Callithrix jacchus: one gene and its partners. The protein of the gene in region 4 binds, or shares a complex with, the protein of the main gene of each other region. Links are inferred from orthologs where the notes say so. Each region holds a gene or a part of one and is shown on either strand. Other genes may lie near its edges.

The links.
Region 1: the proteins of CALCRL (region 4) and RAMP3 are in contact, whole or in part, in a cryo-EM structure (PDB 6UVA), measured with the Homo sapiens proteins. The link is inferred for Callithrix jacchus from reciprocal best matches to the Homo sapiens genes CALCRL and RAMP3. Residues at the interface, in NP_001258680.1 of Homo sapiens: Arg38, Asn39, Met42, Thr43, Gln45, Tyr46, Glu47, Tyr49, Gln50, Met53, Trp69, Asp70, Ser117, Arg119, Thr120, Phe228, Leu231, Ile235, His238, Thr239, Val243, Val245, Lys249, Gln250, His251, Trp254, Tyr255, Phe257, Leu258, Phe262; in NP_005847.1 of Homo sapiens: Trp56, Cys57, Leu59, Phe62, Ile63, Tyr66, Glu67, Thr70, Cys82, Tyr83, Pro85, Asn86, Pro87, Leu88, Gln90, Ile93, Thr94, His97, Arg98, Cys104, Thr105, Val106, Asp107, Arg108, His110, Leu111, Glu112, Asp113, Pro114, Val118.
Region 2: the proteins of CALCRL (region 4) and ADM2 are in contact, whole or in part, in a cryo-EM structure (PDB 6UVA), measured with the Homo sapiens proteins. The link is inferred for Callithrix jacchus from reciprocal best matches to the Homo sapiens genes CALCRL and ADM2. Residues at the interface, in NP_001258680.1 of Homo sapiens: Val36, Thr37, Lys40, Asp70, Gly71, Trp72, Asp90, Tyr91, Phe92, Gln93, Asp94, Phe95, Asp96, Pro97, Ser98, His114, Ala116, Ser117, Thr120, Trp121, Thr122, Tyr124, Thr125, Asn128, Thr131, Lys134, Val135, Ala138, Leu139, Leu141; in NP_001240774.1 of Homo sapiens: Leu106, Arg107, Val108, Gly109, Cys110, Val111, Leu112, Gly113, Thr114, Cys115, Gln116, Val117, Gln118, Asn119, Leu120, Ser121, His122, Arg123, Leu124, Trp125, Gln126, Leu127, Met128, Gly129, Pro130, Ala131, Gly132, Arg133, Gln134, Asp135.
Region 3: the proteins of CALCRL (region 4) and RAMP2 are in contact, whole or in part, in a crystal structure (PDB 3AQF), measured with the Homo sapiens proteins. The link is inferred for Callithrix jacchus from reciprocal best matches to the Homo sapiens genes CALCRL and RAMP2. Residues at the interface, in NP_001258680.1 of Homo sapiens: Arg38, Asn39, Ile41, Met42, Thr43, Gln45, Tyr46, Glu47, Tyr49, Gln50, Lys51, Ile52, Met53, Gln54, Trp69, Asp70, Gly71, Arg119; in NP_005845.2 of Homo sapiens: Trp86, Ile89, Tyr93, Ser94, Arg97, Leu109, Gly110, Pro112, Glu117, Ile120, Phe121, His124, Gln125, Phe128, Ala129, Cys131, Ser132, Leu133, Val134.
Region 5: the proteins of CALCRL (region 4) and GNB1 are in contact, whole or in part, in a cryo-EM structure (PDB 6UVA), measured with the Homo sapiens proteins. The link is inferred for Callithrix jacchus from reciprocal best matches to the Homo sapiens genes CALCRL and GNB1. Residues at the interface, in NP_001258680.1 of Homo sapiens: Lys167, Ser168, Ile394, Arg397, Asn398, Gln401; in NP_001269468.1 of Homo sapiens: Arg52, Phe292, Ala309, His311, Asp312.
Region 6: the proteins of CALCRL (region 4) and RAMP1 are in contact, whole or in part, in a cryo-EM structure (PDB 6E3Y), measured with the Homo sapiens proteins. The link is inferred for Callithrix jacchus from reciprocal best matches to the Homo sapiens genes CALCRL and RAMP1. Residues at the interface, in NP_001258680.1 of Homo sapiens: Asn39, Met42, Thr43, Gln45, Tyr46, Glu47, Tyr49, Gln50, Lys51, Ile52, Met53, Gln54, Thr68, Trp69, Asp70, Gly71, Arg113, Arg119, Thr120, Phe228, Leu231, Ile235, Thr239, Val243, Ala244, Gln250, Trp254, Tyr255, Leu258, Phe262; in NP_005846.1 of Homo sapiens: Trp59, Ile63, Tyr66, Arg67, Ala70, Phe83, Trp84, Pro85, Asp90, Phe93, Leu94, His97, Gly98, Phe101, Arg102, Cys104, Pro105, Ile106, Ser107, Gly108, Arg109, Ala110, Val111, Arg112, Asp113, Pro114, Ile118, Leu119, Phe122, Ile123.

The regions. Positions count from the first base shown.
Region 1 is NC_133512.1:13,234,519-13,238,018, reverse strand, and holds part of RAMP3 (receptor activity-modifying protein 3), read right to left. Parts: intron 1,354-3,500; coding exon 1,221-1,353; intron 1-1,220. UniProt on the Homo sapiens protein: Accessory protein that interacts with and modulates the function of G-protein coupled receptors including calcitonin gene-related peptide type 1 receptor (CALCRL), calcitonin receptor (CALCR) and G-protein coupled estrogen receptor 1 (GPER1).
Region 2 is NC_133502.1:219,044,239-219,048,453, reverse strand, and holds the start of ADM2 (protein ADM2), read right to left. Parts: upstream 2,801-4,215; 5' UTR 2,581-2,800; intron 2,509-2,580; 5' UTR 2,498-2,508; coding exon 2,388-2,497; intron 1,767-2,387; coding exon 1,433-1,766; 3' UTR 1-1,432. Other genes in the region: uncharacterized protein LOC118147770, read right to left, coding at 4,152-4,166. UniProt on the Homo sapiens protein: Intermedin/ADM2 is a peptide hormone that plays a role as physiological regulator of gastrointestinal and cardiovascular bioactivities mediated by the CALCRL-RAMPs receptor complexes.
Region 3 is NC_133506.1:121,132,029-121,135,674, reverse strand, and holds RAMP2 (receptor activity-modifying protein 2), read left to right. Parts: upstream 1-1,323; 5' UTR 1,324-1,359; coding exon 1,360-1,456; intron 1,457-1,921; coding exon 1,922-1,987; intron 1,988-2,463; coding exon 2,464-2,572; intron 2,573-2,705; coding exon 2,706-2,961; 3' UTR 2,962-3,146; downstream 3,147-3,646. UniProt on the Homo sapiens protein: Accessory protein that interacts with and modulates the function of G-protein coupled receptors including calcitonin gene-related peptide type 1 receptor (CALCRL) and calcitonin receptor (CALCR). Required for the transport of CALCRL to the plasma membrane.
Region 4 is NC_133507.1:41,496,496-41,499,995, reverse strand, and holds part of CALCRL (calcitonin gene-related peptide type 1 receptor), read right to left. Parts: intron 2,428-3,500; 5' UTR 2,425-2,427; coding exon 2,341-2,424; intron 115-2,340; coding exon 1-114. UniProt on the Homo sapiens protein: G protein-coupled receptor which specificity is determined by its interaction with receptor-activity-modifying proteins (RAMPs). Together with RAMP1, form the receptor complex for calcitonin-gene-related peptides CALCA/CGRP1 and CALCB/CGRP2.
Region 5 is NC_133508.1:39,883,069-39,886,568, forward strand, and holds part of GNB1 (guanine nucleotide-binding protein G(I)/G(S)/G(T) subunit beta-1), read right to left. Parts: intron 1,830-3,500; coding exon 1,723-1,829; intron 1-1,722. UniProt on the Homo sapiens protein: Guanine nucleotide-binding proteins (G proteins) are involved as a modulator or transducer in various transmembrane signaling systems.
Region 6 is NC_133507.1:159,155,066-159,159,044, reverse strand, and holds the start of RAMP1 (receptor activity-modifying protein 1), read right to left. Parts: upstream 2,801-3,979; 5' UTR 2,753-2,800; coding exon 2,701-2,752; intron 1-2,700. UniProt on the Homo sapiens protein: Accessory protein that interacts with and modulates the function of G-protein coupled receptors including calcitonin gene-related peptide type 1 receptor (CALCRL) and calcitonin receptor (CALCR). Required for the transport of CALCRL to the plasma membrane.

The DNA of each region.
Region 1 (3,500 bases), on a different chromosome or scaffold from region 4:
AGCTATGACCTCCTCCTCCCTGACGTCTTCCCCACCCGTGGGTCCACTTCAGGCCTGTGTCCAGGCCCACTGAGACCAGGGGGAGCCTGACAATCCCTTCCTGAATCCCAGCACCCCTTCCCAGCAGACTCAGAATTCCATTCCACTTGGTTCAGCAAGCAGTTCCCCCACGTGGTGGGGCTGCAGATGTGGCAGTCTCAAGGAGCCAGCTTCTGCTGGGCCACCAGAATGGCCAGGGCCAGGGAGGGTTTCCAGGACACGGCCAGGGTCAGTGTCTCTTCAGAGGGCAGGGGCTGGGGTGCTAGCATGCATGTGCCGGCTAACAGGCCAGCGCAGCTTGGGTCTGCCAGCAGCCACCAGCAGGGGGCACAAGACTGCAAAGCCAGAGGGCGGTGAGGCCGAGAGCCATTTCCAAGGAGGTAAGGAGATAAAAACTTGGGAAGTTTCTAGAACAAGGGGCCCTCCCTCCACTATGTGGTGTTGTCCGCAACTGCACCTTGTATAAGTCAGAGGGACCCAATTCCTCCAAGTCCTCTGACCACTGAGGACAGACCCAGCTGTGACTGGTGCTGTGAGAAAGACACACATGACAATGTCCACCCAGCTCCAGCTTTAAGGAGAGGCAGGACACCCTCCAGGCAAGGCATCCCCCAGGCAGGACACCCCCAGATCAGAGAACCCCCAAACTGGACAGTCCCAGGGCAGGGCACCCTCCAGGCAGAGCACCCCGAAGGCAGGGCACCCCCAAGCCAGGGAACCCCAGAACTGGACACTCCCGGGGCAGGGCACTAATATGGTTCAGGAGGAAAAGCGGACATGGGGAGGATTCCCAAATAACAGAGAGGGAGAAGCAGAGGCAGCGCTGAACTGCTAGAACGTTAGAATGAGGATGCAGAATGAGGGATAGGAAGCTGGGAAGGTGCTGTGGGTGAGGGGGCACAAATGCCACGGTGGGGGCAAGGCCTGGGCGGGGCTGTGAGTGATGTGCTAGCAGGATGTGGGTGGGGTGGCCGGAAACAGGGACAGAGTGTTGGGTGATAATGGAGAAGCCTTGGGCAAAGTATGGGGCAGCGCATGGAAGGGCTGCAGTCTATGGTGGGGTATTGGTGGGGCATGGGTGAGGGCTTGGGTCGAGTGCGGTCACACCATGTTCGGGTGGTGGTCAGGCAGTGGGCAGCGCCGTGGGCAAAGCAGATCCCAGGCCCAGCAGTGGCACTCACACGATGAACTCGGAGAGGTTGCACCACTTCCAGACGTCCACCTTGCCCATCATGTCTGCGAAAGCCTTCCCACACAGGGGCAGCCTCTCCAACATGCCTGTCTCGTTGCAGCCGCCTGCTCTGGGACACCCACCTGGAAAGGGGACAGCCATGAGAATTCCACTGTGGTTCACACTGGGGATGCCAGGACACGGGAGGCCTGAGGGGCCGTAACTTGAGGACTTACTAATAAGGCTCTGTTTGCAAGCCTGAGACCTTTTCAGCAGAATCCTCCACCCTCCTCCCTGACCTACCTGTCAGTGCAGAAAGGAGGTTCCCGCATAGGGACCTGTCCCCAAGACAGGACAAGTCCACCTTTTCACTTCACTGCCTCACAGGCAGTGACACAGGGAGGGAGTCGGCAGTGATACCCTGGGCCAGACTCCTTGGGGGAGTAGTGAGAGGGTCCCGGGCAGATTAGGACTGGAAAAGAGGCTCCAGCTCCAGTTTAGGATTCCTGGGGTCTGGGAGCATCCTGAGGACTCTAAGACCCGGGGACCATCCCAATGCCTGCAGGGGTGGCAGAACAGGGCTCTGGGCCAGTAAGGACCACCAGGCCCTCTCAAAGCCCCCTCCAATTCTGGGAAACCGGGGGCTAAGGCCACTGCAGAGACTCACTTTCCCAGCATTGGGAATGGTGGACCTTCTCAGGGTCTGACACAAGCTGCTTGTCCCAGGATTTCCCCACTGTCCTTCCAACCTCTGCCCACTGAAATATCCCATCCCCTTCCACCTCACGCCTTGGCTCCACACATTTCCCCATGGGGAACATCCTCCGTCCCACGGAGCAGTGCCCGCTGTCCTTCAGGGCCTGTCTCCACGGTCATCTCATTTCCACATCACAGGACCTCCCTGCCCCTAACCTCCCCTCAGCTGACCTCTGCTTTGGCACTCATGAACTCATCAGATACTCAAGAGAGAGCCCAGGCATATGCGTCCTGGGTGTGTGTATGTGTGCATGTGTGTGAGTGCATAGGCGCACGCACAGCCCCGCTACCTGTGTCTTGGTGTGTATGCGTGTGTGTATAGGTACACAGCCTTGCCATCTATGTCTTAGTGTGTGTGTGTGTGTGTGTGTGTGTGTGTATACATGTGCACATGTGTACGCAGCCTTGTCATCTGTGTTCTGGCAGCCGAAGCCGGGCTATAGGAGATCCCATGAAGAAGCGGATAAGGGTTAAGAGAACTGGCATGCTCAGCCCACCCACTGCAGCAGGAGGCCTGGACCACGGCTGAGGAAGTGACTGTGCAGACCACCCTGTGAGTGGCCCCAAGACCACAATGGAGCTACTGAGAGACAGGAGGGTGGCAAGAGTGAGTAGGGTAAGGCTGCAAGGAGTGAGCATGGGTAAGAAGAAGCCACGTGGTGTGGGTCAGCCCGGGCTGCAGGTGTCCACTGCGGGCAGGAAGGAGGCATTCACCTGGTAAGGGGCATGGCCCAGACCACCTGCTGCAAGAAGCAGAGCTCCTTCCTCTGTGTCTGCCAAGGAGGCTGAGACATGAGAATCGCTTGAACTCAGGAGGGGGAGGTTACGTGAGCCAAGATACAGTCCAGTACAGTCCAGCCGCAGCTCTTGCAGAAGGAACTGACTATATTTGGAACAGAGAAGAAGTCCATGCCTAAAGGTGTGGTCAAAAACAATGGATGCAGGCCTGGCATCCCACACCTGTAATCCCATCACTTTGGGAGGCTGAGGTGGAAGGATTGCTCAAGCCCAGGAGTTTGAGGCTACAATGAGCTATGATCATCCCATTGCACTACAGCCTGGGTGACACAGCAAGACTTGATCTCAGAAAAGAATAATAATAAATAAAATAATTTTTTAAAAAAGAAAAAGAAATCAAAAAAGACATGAGACTTTGTTAAAGCCTTAATAGATTTTAAAGGATCGTATAATGTCCTCTGACCACAATGGAATAAAATTAGAAATCAAAAATAAGGCTGGGCGTGGTGGCTTACACCTGTAATCCCAGTACTTTGAGAGGCCAAGACGGGCAGATCACCTGAGATCCAGAGTTCAAGACCACCCCAACATGGAAAACCCCATGTCTACTAAAAATACAAAAATTAGTTGGGCACGGTGGTATACAACTGTAGTTCTAGCTACTCGGGAGGCTGTGGCAAGATAATCACTTGAACCCAGGAGGTGGAGGCTGCAATGAGCTGAGATTACACCATTTTACTCCAGCCTGGGTAACACAGTGAAACTCCATCTCAAAAAAAAAAAAAAAAAAGAAAAG
Region 2 (4,215 bases), on a different chromosome or scaffold from region 4:
GCACCTTGGGCCTTGGCACTCCCAGGGCACCCCTTCCCCGAGAGAAGCCATCTTCAGACCCCACTTGAGCCAGTACTGCTCCCAGGGAGCTGGCCTTAACGGCCTTGCTGTGTGGCCCACCACCCGGACCACCTCTGCTGCAATCCTAGTCCATCTCCCAGGGCATGGAGGCCTCCACAGGGCAGGACAAGCCTGGACTGTGCCCACAGGGCCTCTTGGAGCACAGGTCAGTTACCTGGACCTGGTGATCGTGGTAGGCGCGGCCAGGACCCTCCCATTGTGAGGCAAGAGTTGAGGGGTGGCCCTGTGGGGGAATGTCCTGAGCCCTGTGCCGTGGCCTCTAGATTTGGGGTGATCATGGTGACCCTAGCAAACATTTGCAAATCAAGTGCTGAGCATTTGCCTAGTAGCAGAAGGAACTCTTTCTGAACTCTGTGTTCTGCCGGATGAATGGGAAGCCTGAGTGGCACACAGTGTTAAGTTCCCCATCCCCCCTGGGCAGACCGGCGGTGGTTCTTGTTCTTGCTGTCAGTTGGGGTGGGGCTGCCCTCCCTGGCTCTTGGCAAGTCGACTGCTGCCCCCACACCTGGTCCCACAGGTTCCCCACACCGGGTGGTGGTGGGGGGCCTGTATTGCCTGTAGATCCCCACCCTTGTCTGGCTGCCAACAAGGGTCTCACCCCTCTTGAGGTGGGGTGGGTCTATTTGGGCTGGGGGATCTTGCCCTACCCAGCCCTGCCCTGTCCTGGTGTAGGAAGGGGTGTCCCTGTCCCAGAATGGCTTGGGGTGGCTCCTGAACTTCTAAGGTCCCCTCCCTGGCCTCCCACAGGGGATCCAGGTGGGGTCTCCATGGCCACCTCAGTCTGGGCTCGAGTTGGCAGCTGGAGCCACAGAGGTCCCTTCATGACCTCTGGAAGGCCACCATCCCCTCACCCAATCCCAGGGGCCACAGCATCCCTGCCCCCGCACTCCCCCTCCTGTCTCAAAGACTTGGGGAGGAAGAGGCTGGGACCCTGGGCCAGGCAGGCATGTGGAAGGGCACAAGGCCGGGCTTCAGTCTGACTGGACCAGCAGTGGAGGGGCGACTCCAGCTAATTTAGCCTCTCTCCCCTCCTGGCCCAGAGGTGGCCCTGTGTGTTCAGGGCCTGGCTTCTGCTCTCTGGTGCTGCCACCAACTGTGTCTGGCAGCCGTCCCCCGAGTGTTCACAGTTTCAGGGTGTTCAGGCTCTTTGACGTGCCAGCACTGCATGTAGACCAGCCTTGGTCTACACGTGTGCAAGGGTTTATGTGTGCAAAACTGTGCAGGTATTCTTGCTACAGGCCCTGCTGTCTGCAGCTCTGAAGGACAGAGCTGGGGATGGGGCCCAGCTGCAGTTCTGGACGGGGGCATAGCACCCAAGCTGGGATGGGCAGGCGTGTGGCCCAGCCCCACCTCAGCCATAACTGTGGGGGCTTCTGGGGTCCACAGGAGCTGAGTCCTGCCGGCCAGCCGGTCCCATGAGCTGCCACAGGCGGTGGCTGAGATTCTGCACCTGGCAGGTACCCAGTACACAGCCCACCCGAAGGAGCTGGGCTCGGGGTCTTTGGGCGCCTAAGTGTCTTCGGGGGCCCGAGTGTTGGTGACCACCATCCCGGAGAGGCTGACCCATAGCAAGGACCAGGCCAGCACCCCTTTGTGGCTGGAGGGCTTGGTGAAGATTCCGGATCACAGGTCGGGGTGCAGGGTGACTAGGCTGCAGGCTGCTGGAAGTCCGGGCTGGGAGCTCCCTGCAGAGGCAGATGGAGAATGTTAACCCAATGACTCAGACTTTCAGAGACCCCAAACCTACCCACGTTTGCCTCTACGCAGCTCTGGGTCACTGCCAGGGGAAGCCCATGGCCCTCACCCACCCACACACACCCTGGAGCACTGCCAGGGGAAGCCCGGTCCCCCGGACCATCTCAGTGGCCTGGGTCACATGTGCCGGGAGCCAGCACCTCCTTGGGCAAAGGCCACCCCGAGGCCCAGCCTCTGCCGGTCACGACTCTCAGGGCTCAGGGTGACTTGGCTTCTGCTCTCCCTTTAGGGTGGTGACAGCCTGGGGATATCGCCAGCCTCCCCTCCCCCAGCACACAGCTCCAGGTGAGGGGCTGCTGTGTGTGTGTGTGTGTGTGTGTGTGTGTGTGTGTGTAGAAGCAACTGCCCTGTGTAGAGAGGCAGAGAAAGAAGGGCCTCTGGCCCTGCTGAGGCGCTGCGGAAGGCCTGGGTGGGGGGGAGGGGGAGCCTTCGCGTGGGAGGTGAGCCCTAGTAGTAGGTGGGGGTGGAGGGAGGGCGGCACCCATGCCCCCTGCACTCTGCTTCCCGGAGGGGGGGCCAGAGGGGTGGGCTGGCCCAAGACCCGCACTCACCTGGGTTTGACTGGACGCCGGTCCCCGCCCAGGCTGCGGGACAGCACGCTCGGGAGCTGCAGGCACAGAAGGCTGATGCAACCCAGGGCTGCTGTCGGGATCCGGGCCATGGCGGGCAGGGCTGCAAGGGAGGTGGCAGTGAGCCAGATAGGTTGGGGCAGCCTGAGCGGCGAGCCACCCCCTCCGCCAGCACCTCGGGGAGCCCTCCGCGGTCGGGGGTCGCCGGGCGTGGGCGTGGTAGCTGGGCACGGGCGTCCGTCGGGGCGCAGGCCTCTGGCGCGACTCTGGCAAAGTGTCTGGGGGCGGCCGCGGGTTGGGTCGCAGGCGGAGCGGGCTGGGCAGGTTGGGGGTCCGACCTGGAGCGGAGTGACTGCCCGGGATGGCACCTCGAGAGCTGAATACGTAGCCTTTCCAGCGAGGGGCGGAGCCGGACGCGCGGACTGGGCGGGCCCCCCCCGCCCCCCGCAAGCCCTGCCACCTTCCGGGGCGGGGAGGGGGGCTGCAGCCGCGTGGTCCTCCTCCGCGGGCGCAGCGAAGGGGCGGTGGAGGGTCCTGATCCCGTTGGGAGCGCTCGGAGACCGCCCGGGATGGCGGGGCACCAGCCTCACTCCCGCGCCTTCCCGTGGGGACGCAGCCCCGAGCCCGCGGGGGCCGGACTTTCCCAGACTGAAGCGGAGTTCTGGGGGACGAGCAGTCATCCGAGCTGATCCCAGGGCTGGGGCGGACTGGGGCCACTTCCCGAGTCCGGGCGGTCCCACTCTCCAGGGTCTGAACCGGTGGACCCACGGCCCGACCAGCGAGTCTGTGCGGTTCCACAACGGGCTGTCCATTCCACTCTCTGTCGCGGTACCCCCAACCCCGGGCTGTGCTCCTAAAAGGCTCTACCTACCCCCTCCCCCCGCCGCTCCAACCATGGACCAAAGTATAGCACGATTTTTGTAAGAAATTTAAACAAGTGTCCGGCTGTCGTGGCTCACGCCTGTAATCTCAGCACTTTGGAAGGCCGAGGCGGGTGGATCAGCTGAAGTCAGGAGTTGGAGACCAGCCTGACCAACATGGAGAAACCCTGTCTCTACGAAAAATACAAAATTAGCCAGGCTTGGTGGCACAAGCCTGTAATCCCAGCTATGTGGGAGGCCGGTGGAGGTGGAGGTGAGCTGAGATCGGGACATTCCACTCGAGCCTGCAACAAGAGCGAAGCTGCATCTCAAAAAAGAAAGAAAGAAATAAATTTAAGCAAGTGAAACGTGAGACTCCCCTCAACATTGCCACCCACTCGAGACCCCTACCCCTGTCTGGGTGGGAGCCCTCACCTGACCTAACCTGGGCATACCAAGGCGCGGCCCGAGTCACACATATCCGTGTGCGCAGACCTGCCCCATTCTTTCCCAAGAGCTGTTTCGGATGACCTGGTGGAGGAGTGAAGCTACTCAAAGCCCAATCCTCCATCCTCTTCGACTTCAACGGAGCATGCAACTTCGGGGGGGATGCACAGGGAACGTGGGGAAGGAATGGGACACTCGCCACCCCCCCCACCCCACCCCCCAGCCCCCCCAGCCTCATCAGCCGAATCAACCCTGGTGACCAGTGGGTGACAGGTGTCACAGCCCTGTGGCCCTCACATCGGAGACCCCATGCTTTCCTATGGTTGGACCTTCTCCTCCAACATGCAGGTGTTCTGTGATTCACTTCATCTGCTATTAATGCGAGTTTAGTTGATTTTCAGTCTTTCCATGAATTGCTGCCTTGAGCCCACAGATGTGTCTATAGGACACCTTCCTAGAAGTAGAAATTCTGGTTAAAGTTGAGCACATGTTTATGCTGGTAG
Region 3 (3,646 bases), on a different chromosome or scaffold from region 4:
CCATGATGGATAATTTGTGATGGACAGGAATCAGAAACTGGGACAACAGCAGCAGCTGAGTCCAGGGGTCAGTGTCTGGGAGTAATTTAGGAAAGTTTGGTGCTGACAGCTGTGTCTGGGACTTGAACGTCATGGCCAAACCAGCTCCTGGGCTCCTCAGCTGCTTCAGGCTAATGAACCTCTGGCCCAGGACACAAGCCGCAGCTGTGGTGTGGCTGAAGTCAGGGCCCCTGGAGGCCCAGGCTCGGCCTTGCTGCTTCCTTAGTAGTGTCAGTTAGACAAGTGGCTTAGGAAAAGAGGAAAGGAAACTAACATTCAGTGAGCGCACTGCCCTTTCTCAGCTGCCATCCTCACTGGTGAGGAGCGGAATGTTCCTATTTTATGTAAGCCCTGAAGGTAAACGCGTCATGCAAGCTCTATGACTGGGAAGGAGGAAGACAGAATTAGAACCCAGAGCTTCTGAATTCAAATCCCGGGCTGCTGGCCCCGAACTTTAGCGTTTCTGTAAAATGGTGACAGTAATACACTCACCCCGCACATGAAGTCCCACATTGAAGGTTCTAAACCCTTTCCTCCTTTCTCCCAACCTTGGTCCTGAAGAGCTGCGGCACCTCCTTCCCAGGAATGTAGTCATCGTATTTTGCCTCCCAACAGGTTTGTGGGGTCTGGGCCCCAGGAGGTGTCTTGAAGGGAGGGTATCAGGACTTCTGTTTTCCCTCTACCCCACTCCCCAGATCTTCTCCCGACTCTGGAGGGCCGACTCCCGCTTCTCCCTGGTTGTGACTGGCGGGCTGACAACAGCGGGTGTTCCCAGGGATAGATAAGGAACCCTAAGCTGGCCGGCCCAGCTCCAGGAGCCCCTTCCCCCACAGCCCAGGGCAGCCCCTTAGGTGCAGCGGCGTCGAGAGGCCGCTGGAGCTCCCAGCCCCTCCCTCTTCTCCGGGTCTGAGAGAGCAGCTCGCCGACCCCTCCAGCCCGGAAAGAGAGGGGGCGACTCGAGTCCGGGAGCGGCTCCTTGGAGACCCCGGAGAGTCCTGCGCGCCGCGCGGCCGAGCCCCAGAAATAGATCCCGGTTCCGGGGTTCCGGGAGCTGTCCAGCCCCGCGGGGTGAACTGCGAGAGAGTGTGGGCCAACGCCGGCAAGGCGGAGGGAGCCGCGGGCGCCCGGCGCGGGTGCGGCGGCTACTCCCCCTCCAGCAGCGGGCCCCGGGCGTCGCCCCCGCCCCCCACGTGGCCGCCGCCGTCCCAGCCCCTCCGAGGAAGCGGCGCGGCTTCCTGCGGCTCGGGCCGGGGATATAGGCGCCCCCACACCCGGGCCAGGCTCAGCGCCGCCGCAGCTCCCTCGCCTCCTTGCTGCACGATGGCCTCGCTCCGAGCGGAGCGCGCCGGCGACCCCCGGCTCCCGACGACCCGCGCTGGGCGGCCGGCAGCGCTCCGCCTCCTCCTCCTACTGGGCGGTGAGCGCGGCGCCGCGAGGCCCGGGCGGGAAGCGTAGGAGGCCCCGGAGGGGAGATGGGAGAGGGGCTGGATGGGCGAGGCGGGAATGGGCCCCGGGGTTTGGGCGCGGACCGACGGACAGAGCAGCACTGGCCTTCGGACGGTCCCTGACCTCACCTCGGGGCGGGCATAGCTCAAGCTGCTTCCCACCGGGGAAAGCTGGAGTGCGGGCCCCGGCTCCGCGGAGAGGGCAAGGGAGGCTGGGAGCTGGCCAGAGGGGAGGGGGCTTTGGGCCTGGGTGTGAGTGACAAGGAGCTGGTGCCAGGCCCTCCCTCCCCAGCTGGGATGTCCATGGGGTCTAGATTATTCCTCTTTTTCTTCCATGGTAGCCCTGCTTTCAGAGGGTCTCAGTCCCCCGCCCCCCCCGCAGACCCCACTTCTGGGGTCCCCGCTATGCCACCCTCCTCTCCTGCTTCTCCCCACAGCTGTCCTGAAGCCCCAGGAGACCCTGGCTCAGCCTCTTCCCACCACAGGCACACCGGGGTCAGAAGGTGGGTACCCAGGATGTGGAAGGGTAGCCGAGGGCAAGGACGAGAGCAAATTCAGTGGGGAGAGTCCCTTTCCCACGAGGCCCGCACAAGGCCCGCACAAGGCCCGCACAACCCCAACTGATGGCCCACTAAACTCCCCTCTGTTCTTTCTTGGGGTTCCTTGTGGTCTTTCTCCCTGTCTTCCCACAAAGTCCCTGCACAGCTCTGAACTGGCCCACCTCACAGGTGGGTGAGAAGACCCCAGGAAAAGGTGTACGTGGAACTTCTTATCAGGCTGGGATGGAAAGTGCTTAGCACAGGGAAGTCGTTACAGGATTCCTGAGCTGGGACTCTCCTCAGCCAGAACTTCTTGCTAGGGAAACTTTCTGAAGGGTTCGCACCCCCCCCCCCCCCCCCGTTTGAAGGCAGGCACCTGGGCAGGAGGGTTTGGAAGGAGGGGCAGGGCTGTGGTCATTGTGCAGCATCTGTACCTACAGTGAAGATGATGGAGAACTATGAGGCAGCTGTCCAACTTTGCTGGAATTATTACAAGTATCAAATGGATCCTATCGAAAAGGATTGGTGCGACTGGGCTGTGATTAGCAGGTAGGGGCGGTGCTGGAGGGTGGCTCAGGCCCGGGGTTGGGCCTGCTTATTGCAGGTAGACCTTGAGTGAGTGTGGGGCACTTCTCTCCCTGGGTCCACCCCCTCACTCACTCAAGTCCTCTCCTGCCTCTAGGCCTTATAGCACCCTGCGAGATTGCTTGGAGCACTCTGCGGAGGAGTTTAACCTGGGCTTCCCCAATCCCTTGGCAGAGAGGATCATCTTTGAGACTCACCAGATCCACTTTGCCAACTGCTCCCTGGTGCAGCCAACTTTCTCAGACCCCCCAGAGGATGTACTCCTGGCCATGATCATAGCCCCCATCTGCCTCATCCCCTTCCTCATCACTCTTGTAGTATGGAGGAGTAAAGACAGTGAGGCCCAGGTTTAGGGGGCCACAAGCTTCTCAACAACCATCTGACTCTGCTTCCCTACCCCCACAGGGCCTCCCTCCTCCCCTTCTCCCTTCTGTCACTCTCGCTCCCACCACAGATCCCTGGATTGCTGGAAGTGGAGGCCGGGTGGGGTCATGGCACAAGTTCTGTAATCTTCAAAATAAAACCTTTTTTTGTACAATGTCCTTCTCCTCATTTCAGTGGGACCTGTGTCGTTCCCTGCCACTCCCACAGGCTCTCAGCTCTGGGTAGCAGAAGCGGAAAAATCTGGATGGCCCAGATTCAGAAAAATTTGAATTCTGTTAATTTCACCTGCCCCCCTGCTCTCAACCTCCATGAAGGTCACACCCCTATATTCTTTCCTTCCAGGGGGGCCTTTCCTGCCCTTATCCAAACTCAGTTCCAGGAAACAAGCAGGAAGAGACTCCCTTCCGGTCTGGACAGCAGCTGGGGGCCTGCGACTGGGGAGGTGTGGGGGAAGGGGCAAGGGAGGAATCTCTGCTTGTGACTCTGCAAGAGGGACAGGAGGCTGCCCAAGGGGCCCTGACTGTTCCCTTCTTCATGCCTCAGTTTACTCCCAGGGCCTGGGAAGAGGAACCCTGGCTGAGCAACAGGAATCCATTCCTAAGGACCTCACAATTAAGGGCAAAAGCAGTAGGGGCTTCCTCTACTAGGTTCACC
Region 4 (3,500 bases):
ATCTTGCATAATTTTTTGGTAACATTCATATTGAGCTGTCATGATTTTATTTCTAGTAACTCCCAACTGCACTGAGTCCTCAGGACTCTCTTCTAATTCTGCTGTGACAAGAATCTGAGGGATTAAAAAAACAGTATCAACTTCATGAAAAGGATTATAAAAATGTCTTTGTCAAAGGCAGTCTGTCACAGTGGAAAACAGCCAGTGCAGTGATGTACTGGAAGATGAACTTGTTCTCTGGGGAAAATCTCCCATTTGTAATGTTTGCTATTTTCATGGTATAAATATCCCCTCCGTGTCCACTTTCAAAACACTAACAAGATGTCACCATTGGCAGAGTGGGAAAGCACAGTTGGTTCTCAGAAGCCTGTGGTAGCCAGCTCCAGGATAGTCCTTAATACATGTTCTGGAATGTAGACAGAGATGTCTTCCAATCTGACCCCAGTGTTTTTCCTGGCTCTGTGAATGAAGGCAAGATATTGTCTGTCCCCTCCCCTCTTCTTCCTTATTGTAAAATAGTATAAAATAACATCAAGATGACAGAGGAGATATATCTGGCACATGGAACTACTCACAATTTATGGTCATTGTTATAATATTTTGATAATAAAAATATTGGCAAATAGAAATTTTTGTGATGTTGGCAAATAGAAATTTTTCTTCTATGCACATCAATAAAGTTTTTGGACAAGTTATGTATTTATTTTCTTTCAATATAGTAGCACTATTTTAAGCTTCAATTCTACTTTAATTTCCACATGACATTTTTTCTGATTTATAATAGGAAGCCTGAATAAACCTCTTTTTAACCGATTTCTAGTAGTAATTTTTGCATAATTTATATTAACTATATTCCATAAGCTGTTATCTTCATATCCTTCCTTTGTTCCCTCATTGCCGTATTTCTGTTTTCTAGCAGGAAGTTGAATTTAGTAAAGTGAAAATGACATTCCCTCACTGTTGTAGCATCAGTCAAGTTTTACCATTGTGTGACCACCATTCATCATTAACTCTTTCATTCCTTTATTTATTTCCAAATAAAAATTTATGCAGTGGTAGTGTTGCACAAGTAATAAAGGAAATGTGTGACATAAAGAAAAGTAATATATTTGAAAACCACATAACTGCTGATCTTCTCAAAAAGTCTATAGAATTGCATAAATCCATATCATTTTTATCCTTCTGTATAAATCAATATCATTTTTATCCCTACTTGGAATACAGACTCTGATTTATATACTATCTTACACGAATTCAAGAGGAAGAGTCATAATATCTTAAATTACAATAATCAGTTGGTAATCTATTACAGAATTGCCTGCAGGAAAGTAATGTTCTGTGCAGCTTGCTCAGTGGAGGGTGTGAGCTGAAGTCAACTTAAAGATACTATCTAAGAAGTGCAGAATTTGGACTGCTCCTAGACTTGAAAATGTTTTCAAATACAAATGCTGACAGGAATGTAGTCTTGGGTTTGCTTGTTTTCTTTTTCTCATTTAGGTTTTCTGTATTCTCTGGGTTTCTTTGTTTCCATCTTTGTGGTATTTGCTAGAAACACCTCAAGCAAATTCTTTGCTGTCACAGGACTAAATGAGAGTATGTCTCTTGGTTTCTCGTGTTTGTAATGAGATAAGAGCACAGTCACTATTTGAGGCAGAGAAAAATATGGGTAATTCATTACTATGATAAAAATAAAATTAAGTGTATGAAGTATATGATTCTCAAGCAGAGCAGCTGAGTTTTTGTCTTCTTTGTCTGCCTTCCACCTTGGGCCCCATATCCCCAGTGTATACATGTAGAGGGGCAGATGAGTATGCACACTTATGCACGCACCTGCCACAAATTTAACATCAATTGTCTGCTTATTTAAATGAAGGATTGAGGAAATTAATTTAAAACACACTGCATGGTTCTAAATTGCCTTGCAATCAAGATATGTCAATCAGCTGGCAGAACGGGATAACTATCAATGGGAGAATCACTTTTTTTTAAACAGATCTAACTGTGAATCAACAAGTCTGGTTGAAACTATTTTCGCTACTATGTAAAACCTGTACTATAGTGTCATTCCGTTTGTATCTCTGATACAAACTATGCATAGTCCTCTGGTGTCTTATGCATTTGTGTCTATTGATCTTTCCCATTCTGATTCCCTCTACTTCCTCTCATTCTATACCTGTTATAGGACTAAAAGCATACACTGAATGAAAACTCATTATTGCTGTATCAATCAGATACAAAAATGTGATTAATTTATGTATCTAGTAACTTCCTTAATTTTCTTTATCAATTACAGGTGTATTGGAAGCAAAAACAGAAATAATCATATATTGTTATGCTTACCACAAAAAAAGGCAAGAGAACCAGAAAATACTGAGTACACTTTTTCTCCATCATTGTGCCAAAATGAAATATGCTATATAGCATAAACTGCAATAGAAAAAAAAGAAATATAATTCATGAATATTTATGATATAAACGTAGATGGCTCTCAACAGAGAATTTATTTTAAAACTACATATTAATTCAATAATTTTATTTTAAAGATTTGATTAATGGTTTTGGGGATTTTATTTTAAAGATTTGATTAATGGTTTGTTTAAAGACAGGGTCTCACTCTGTCACCAGGGCGAGAGTGCAGTGGCACAATCTCCGCTCACTGCAGCTAGACCTCCCAGGTTCAAGTGATCCTCCCTCCTCAGCCTCCCAAGTAGCTGAATTACAGGTGCACACACCACACCCAGCTAATATTTGTATTTTAATAAAGATGGGGTTTCACCATGTTGGTCAGGATTACACGTGTCAGCCATCCTGCCCAGCATGTTAAAATAGATTAAAACTACAAATGTTTAAGAGCATTATAATTTAAAGTATTAAGAAGCTTATTAACACATTTTAATTTAATTTAATTAGACTTACAAACAGAAATGCTCCTTATAGATAGATAGATAGATATTTTAATAATTATAAAACAAATGATAAAGGTATTAAAGCATTTTGCATGGATAGAAACAATTTTGATAGCATCTTTTATTATAAAGTTTACATTTATTTTCTGTAAGTATTCTTCTAATTTTAAATTTTCCGACTCCAGTTATTTAAGGAAGGAAATTGTTCTCAACCAATTTCTTGAGAATCAATGTCTATATATCATAAAAATGTCGTTATAATTTAATAGAAATTATTCTTCACTAGTGAAAATCAATTTTTTTTAAATAAGAAATAAAAGATTCCCTAAATCATCCACATTATTGAAATAACGTTACAGGGAATGAACAACATTAAATAAAATATTTGAATATTTTTAATGCTACATACAAGTCTGAGCTAATGAAAAATGGCCTCTAAAAACTAGTTCCTAATTCTGAGAGACAAGAATTGCTGTAGTGTATTTCCAAATGCTTCCACCCTGTGAAGTCCAGGAGCAACCTACTCTGACACGTTGTCAGGGTGTAGCCATAGACTATAATATTTATTTGACTGAATGACATAATTTGGCTCTG
Region 5 (3,500 bases), on a different chromosome or scaffold from region 4:
TTCAGCCTCCCAAAGTGCTGGGATGCATGAGCCAACGTACCTGGTTACTTATTTATTTTGAATATTTAAAAGGATTTTTGACAAACAATAATTTACGGAGTACAATATGGTGTTTTAATATATATCCACACTGTGAAATGAAAGAATCAATCTAATCAACATACCCATCACTAACCGTGTGTGTGTGTGTGTGTGTGTGTGTGTGTGTGTGTGTGGTAGGAACATTTAAAATCGACTTTACTAACAATTCTGAAATACATGTTATTATTAACTGCAGTCTCCATGCTGGGTGACAGATTTCTAGAATTTATTCCGAACTCAAACTCTGTACCCTCAGACATCATCTCCCCCCTCCCACTTTTATTCTGACTCCTCTCGCATTGGAAAAGCACTCATTTGCATATGGAATTGTATGGGATACAATATAGAACAAACTAAAGATAGAATCTTTTGTTCTCTAGCTGTTTGTGCTCTAAAGCAGACAATTTCACAAACAAAAAAAAGCCAAGCAGAAAATTCCAGGCTAACAACTGAATACAAAGAAATACTACTCAACCAAGGGAATGTTAAAAACCGCTACGTCAGGTGCTTGGAACAGCATGTCATGGTTACACAAATCAAATGGTACTTTACTAAATTATTTGGCTAGAACAGGCAGCAAATAAGACTTTGCAATAGCCTCTAAATGAGAGGAACACACAGAGTGTGCGATGACAGAGGTGAGGCGCCTGGTGGAAAAGCATGGGGTATAATTTAAAGTATAAAAAACAGGCTAGAACTGGTGGTGGCTCAAACCTGTAATCTCAGCACTTTGGGAGGCTGAGATGGAAGGATCACTTGGGGGCCGGGAGTTTGAGACTGGCCTCAGCAACAAAGAGGGATCCTGTCTCCACAAAAAAATATATGTATATTAGAAGGGTGTGGTGACACATGCCTGTGGTCTCAGCCACTTGGGAGGCTGAGTAGGAAGTGTTGCTGGAGGCTAGGAGGTAGAGGCTACAGTGAGACATGATCACACCACTGCACTCCAGCATGACTGACAGAGTGAGACCCCTGTCTCAAAAAAAAAAAAAAAAAAAGACAAGACAAGACAAGAAAAAATTGGAGCCCATGAAGGGAATTATCTTTTGGGATGGTAAACAAAAGGAAGAAGGCAGGGCAGACAGGCCAGGTGAGAGAAGAGTGAGAGCAGGTCACAGCGCATTCCCGAGTGTCTGCTGCTGAAAGCCAACAGCAAACCACATACAACATGATGCTGATTCTAAGGCTCAAAATGCTTCATCCCTCAGGATTCTCAGGTCAGGTTCTGTGATTTCCGGAGCCTGGGCACTGAAATCACAGAAGAGTGAGGGCCGACCAACCCTGAGAAACAGGCACAGAGAGGTCACTTTCTCAAGTTCCCATAAGTAGGATGCAGTAGAACCAGGAGGACAGAGTTCAAGAAACTGAAAGAGTTGTGAGAAGGGAGAAAGAAAAACCAGAACTTGTATTGATGTGACTCAGACAGTGAAGAAATGGCAGCGTCCTTTCAGTGCAGGTAAATGGAAAACAGGACAGGGAGTAGGCATCTGTGAATGTTGCACGTGGCGTGCCCAGGGTTCTGATTCAAGTTCCTCATTTTTTCGCTGTAAAACACAGCAAACGGTTTCGGGTTGTTTTCCCTTAGGAAAACAGAGCTGCCTGGAACATGTCAAGCAGCGTCCTGCTCACGCCCACACCTACCTGGAGTCTGTGCCCCAGTGCATGGCATAGATCTTGGCCAGGTGCCCCCGTAGTGTCCTCCTCGTGCGCATTTGGATTCTTCCCACTGGGTCGATGTTGTTTGTGATCTTGAAAATAAAAACGTTTCTGTGCATTAACATCTGTGATTAAACGACTCTCCTCCTCTTCCTTCTCGGTCATGGCTGTTGGCTCGCCCACTGTGCCTGCCTCTTCCCAGCCCTCCCCACAGTTCTCCAGTGGCTCCCATTGTGCCATTCTGCACTGAACTCCTTCTGCACTTCTCACCAAGTCTCAGTCTGCCAGTAATCAGGAACATGTTCGGCCTCCCCTCCAAGCACAGGAACACTGCCAGCCTTGAAGCACTCGCTGTTCCTTTCCTGCCTCCTTCCTCCTCTCCCTGTCCATCCAGGACCAGCTCCTCCTAGGTCTCTCAGTCCTTTGAGATCTCACTACTTTTCTGAGACACCTGCTTCTGCACGACCATCACTCGTAGCATAAGGTGTACACACACCTGCCAAGACCATCCTGCATTCAGACACTGATGTTAATGAGTTTAGGTTGGCAAATGGAGTAAGTGTATCACAATAGTGGGTTTTTAAAAATGGACAGTCCAAAGTGTTCTGAGAATTGAAATTCAGGTAAATCTATGTAGCCTAATTTTTTTTTCTTTAACTTACAATTTAACCTCAATTAAAATGCATCCCCTAAAGCAACTGAACAATTGAAAAATTTAAACATCTTCATTAGAAGTATGAATATAGTTTTTCTTTCACATTTCTGTCTAATTCTTTGGATTTTATTTTTACTTTTATTATTATTATTTTTGACAGAGTCTCACTGTCGCCCAAGCTGGAGTGCAGTAGTGTGGTCTTGGCTCAGTGCAACCTCTGCCTCCAGGGTTCAAGTGATTCTCCTGCCTCAGCCTCCTGAGTAGCCAGGATAACAGGAGCGTGCCACCACAGAATAACATCTGTCCCAACATGGTAAAACCCTGTGTCTACTAAAATACAAAAAATTACAACTAATTTTTGTATTTTAGTAGACACGGGGTTTCACTATGTTGGCCAGGATGGTCTTGAACTCCTGACCTCCAGTGATCCACCCACCTTGGCCTCCCAAAGTGCTAGGATGGACCTGCAACCATTGCCAGCATCTAGTTCCAAAATATCTTCATCATCCCAATCAGTCCCTGTCCCTCACCTTCTCCCCTCTCTCCCCTAATACCCCTGCTGGCCACTAGTTCACTCCGTCTCAACGCATTTTACTATTCTAGGTATCACAAAACATAGCCACTTCTGTTTGGCTTCTTTCACATATCATAATATTTATGGGACTTATCCCTAGTGTAGCCTCTGACTGTAGTGAGGTCCATTTAACGGCTGGTAAAACTCCAGGGGCATTTAAGAGACACCACATGGTTGATCCACTCACTCACTCATGCACATTTTGGCTGTTTCTACATTTTGGCTGTTGTAAATGGTGCTGCTACAAACATCCACGTACACGTGTTTGTTAGAAAACCCGTGTTCAGTTTTGTTGGGCATATATGTAACAGTAGAATTGCTGAATCACACAGTAATTCTAGGTTGAACTTTTTGAGGTATTGCCAAATTGGATATTAGAAATCGAAGTTTTGAGGCAGATTCTGTTAAGGAGAGGAGCTTCAAAATATCTTAAGAGAGTAGCAATATTTTACAACTATTACCTCTGTAACAGGAAGATAATTATTGAATAATTATCTTGATATATCTCGTTTTCATCTCAAAAAGCCCTTCTAC
Region 6 (3,979 bases), about 120 Mb from region 4:
CATTTCTCAATAGCCCTGGCCTCGGACTGGCAAGGCGTCTGTGAAAGGAAGACACAAATCCAGACATTTCTTCCTGCAGCTGAACACACAGAGAGGGTAAACAAACACACTGATTAGCAAATGAGAATGCTTCAGATTTGGACTCCGGCATGAGAACTGCGTCCGGATTTAAAACCACGTGGCGATCTGAAGCAGTCACACAGCACTTCCTACGGTGTCCCGTCATTTCCAATTCTACTTCTATTTATAGAGTCATATATTTCAATTAATGTCGCAGCCATTAAAAAAAAAAACAAAAACGCACCTTCCACATGACAGCCAAGGCAGGCAAGCGTTTCCCAGGACAGATGACTGAGTTCCTGTGTGACAGCACCAGCCGGCACTCCCTGAGTGCAGCTGGACTCGAAACCAGGGCTGCCATGCATTCTTCCTTCCTGATTAGCAAACAGCTTTTTGGTGTCTCTACACAAACCTTTCAAAATGCATGTGGTTACGTTAGTCTCCAGCAAACAGAACAGTGCATAGGATGCTCGGAGGGAAAAGAACTACATATGGATCCTAAGGTTTGTTTTTTTGTTTTTTTGAGACGGAGTTTTCACTCTTCTCACCCAGGCTGCAGTGCAGCGGCATGACCTCAGCTCACTGCCACCTCTGCCCTCCCAAGTTCAAGCAATTCTGCCTCAGCCTCTTGAGTAGTTGGTATTACAGGTGCCCACCACCCCATGCCTGGCTAATTTTTTTGTATTTTTAGTAGAGTCAGGTTTTGCCATGTAGGCCAGGCTGGTCTTGAACTCCTGACCTCAGGTGATCCACCCACCTCAGCCTCACGAAGTGCTGGGATTACAGGTGTGAGCCATCATGGCTGGGTGAACTGTGAACTGAGATTCTCCCATGGCTGGGAGAATCTCAATAACTACCTAAGACAAATAGCTTGATTGTAAAATTGTCACAGATAAGTTCTTAAACCTGCACACTAGCGTTCTTAAAAAAAAAAAAATTCCACGTTGCCATTCTGGGTAGCAGAATCTTCATCACCAAGGAGATCTGGCTAGTGCTAGAGCCTGTGAAGGAAACAGCCTGTGCTCAGTAATTCCACGAATTACAGCTGGTCTCCAAATGACATTAATTTACCGATAACCTCATAACCTTCCAAGATATAACATTAGCCAGGCCACTCAAAATGATGTTAAAATTACAGGACTTTGGACTTCCAGCAGAACATGAATAGTTTTCTTGGTAAACAAGGAAGGTCTGTATATGTGATCGTGACATAGCGTTTTATTTACACAAGCCTTAGAGGGTGCAGTCTCTGGACACTAGTAAAGAACATTTATTTATTTGGTTATTTATGTGAAAAATATTCCACAGCCCAGCTCTCTGCCTTGCTAACAAAGAAATGTTTGTCTCTTAGGAAACGAAAACAGTGAAGGTCACGTCAAGCCAAATGGATCCGAACACAAGAGGAGGGAAGATTCCGCTGAGATGTGGCTTTCCACTTAACTTCAGCCAAAACACTCGAGTGGCAAGATTCGCTTTCAGATAATATTATGTTGGCCTCGGAGGATTCCATGCCGATCTGCCACTCCTTGGAGAGGTTTACAAACAGGGACCAGAAATCCATGGCTCCCAAGAAGCTCGGGCCCCTCTCCTCGCCGGGCCACGAACTGCTCCCCCAGCTACAGAAACAGCGCTGGCGGTCACTGCTTGCCCAGTGCCAGTGACAGGCCAAGGGGACTTGTGCGGCAGGTGCCTCTGACCAACATCACTGTTTCTGGGAAAAGGCCACATATACTAGAAACAACTGCTCTGGCCTTCCCAGGGGCACTGGGTTTTCTCCCACGCCAGTAATCTATTATTCGGTTTCCGTTGAAAGGTAGCTAAATACACGGAACGCAACAACCAGTGTAGAAGGGGCTTGAGTCAGCATGTTGGGAGCGCACTGCAGATGGGGGCAGTGAGCGGGGCCGTGCCTTGCTGAGTGTGTGGCCAGTTCCTGTGGCCACCGGGTAGTTGATAATCTCCACTCTTCCCGCAGGTGGAAAGCCGAGCGCGTTCCACCACTTCACCAAGGGTCCCGTCCTCTAAATTTCTATTAGCCGGAAGTGCCAAGTTAACAAGCAAACCAAAAGAAAAAAGAAAAAAAAAAAAGCGATGGAAATGCCTCGAGAAGGGAGGGCCTTATTTCTGCAAAAGGCATCATTAGCAAACAAGCGACTGCTCTGTCTGCGAGAGATCAGTGTTGACTCATCTCCAGACGAACGGTCAGTGGCTCCGACTCCCGCACACCGAGTCCTCTGCGAGGCGCCTGCCTGCAGGTTTTGCCACGCGGGACTGCCTAGGGAGGGGAGCCTGCGCTGGCGGTCACCGCGGCGCACAGCCTGGGAAACCGAGGTGCGGGGCTGGGGAACCCCGCGTCCTGTTTCTCTCCCGGAAACAAGTTCTCCGGTGCGCGCAGCTGACGCCCCACGCCTTTCAGAACGCCGGCTCTCCGACTTCCCCAAAGCCGTCCCTTCCGCGGCAAGAGGCGCAACTCCGGTCCGCACCCTCTGATTCCCGGTGCCCTGGGGCCTCCCGCCTGGAACCCGGGCTGCCCAGGTTCAACGGCAGCGGACCGCTGCGCCCTCCCTCTCCTCCCCTCCCCTAGAGGACGCCGGCGGGCCGGGGGAAGAGAGTTCGACCCGGATCCCCGACCCTACTCACCCAGGAGCAGCCAGAGGCAGCGCCGCGGGAGGCGGCACAGGGCCCGGGCCATGGTGCACAGCGGAGCCCAGTCCACCCACCACGCGCCCCGCCGAGGACTGAGCCCGCCGCGGCGCCCGCCCGGAGGAGACGTGCCGGGGGCGGGGGCGGGCGCGGGCGCGGGAGGGGTGGGAGGCGGCGGCCGCGTGGCCCGGCCCACTGTGGCTCCCCAGGTGGGTGCCAGGGCCGGGGGCGCGCGAGGCCGGGAAAACTTTGCAGGGGAGTCGCGCGGGCGTCTCCGGGGGGGACGGCACACTTGGACTTCGAGTGAGGCCTTCTGAAATGTTCTCACTTTTTAAACTAGGGAGGGTCTCCTAGGCGACTCCGAGGGAGCGGCACCTTGGTCTCCACCTGGGCATCTTCCCCTCCTCCTCCTCCGAGGTTCTCCTGCCTGGGGTTTGCTTTGCAAACAGGCTGAGATCTCCCCACCGCGTTTACCTCTCCTCCCAGGTGCAGGCGCTGGGGAGCGTTGGCGTCACCTCCCCCCCGCTTCCCCGCCAGGCGCCTGGGGAAGACCCCTAATAACCCAAGATGGCGCACACTCCCAGGCCCTGGAATGCTGCTCCAGATCTGCAGGATGAGTGGGTGGGAAGAGGCCGGGGGCTGGAGGGAACGGGGCTCTTTGGGGAGATTGAGATGGCCTGGGGGTCTCGCTGTTGATGGGTAGCGAGCGCCTGGCAGGAGGTTTGTGAGGGTCTGGGCAGAGAGTCCTTAGAGACGAGGTTTGCTTTGGGGACCGTCACTCTGGCAGCTGCATGGAGAACTGATGGGGGATCTTGGGTGCATTCCTTTATCTAAAGCGGTGAGAGGAGGGCGCTCTGGAGATGGTCTGGGAAAGCCTGGGGAGGGGTAAGTTCTGGAAGGCACAGGCCTGACCTGGGCTCTAAGGGCATTACTAGTGGCTGGATTTCACCTTGCAGTGGGTTCCTTCTTGCAATAACCTGTTCTGAGAACTCTTAGCAATAGTAAATTTATACTCATGCTAAAGAATGCACCGCCTCTGGAGGGGGACGGATCACCACCCTAGCGTTGTGGCCACAGCTGTCTCTCTTGTGGAAGTTGCAGTCACACGGCACTGCTGAGTGACCAACAGTTCCTCAGCAGTCAGTGGCTGAGCGGCTGCTGCCATCTGCTGTAAGCTCAGAGAAGGGGAGACAGCTGACAGGGAGGCCATCCACCAGCTCTTCTAACACAGGCTAGGAGGGCCCTCGGGGCCAGCATGCCTTCTCCCCCACTGCGC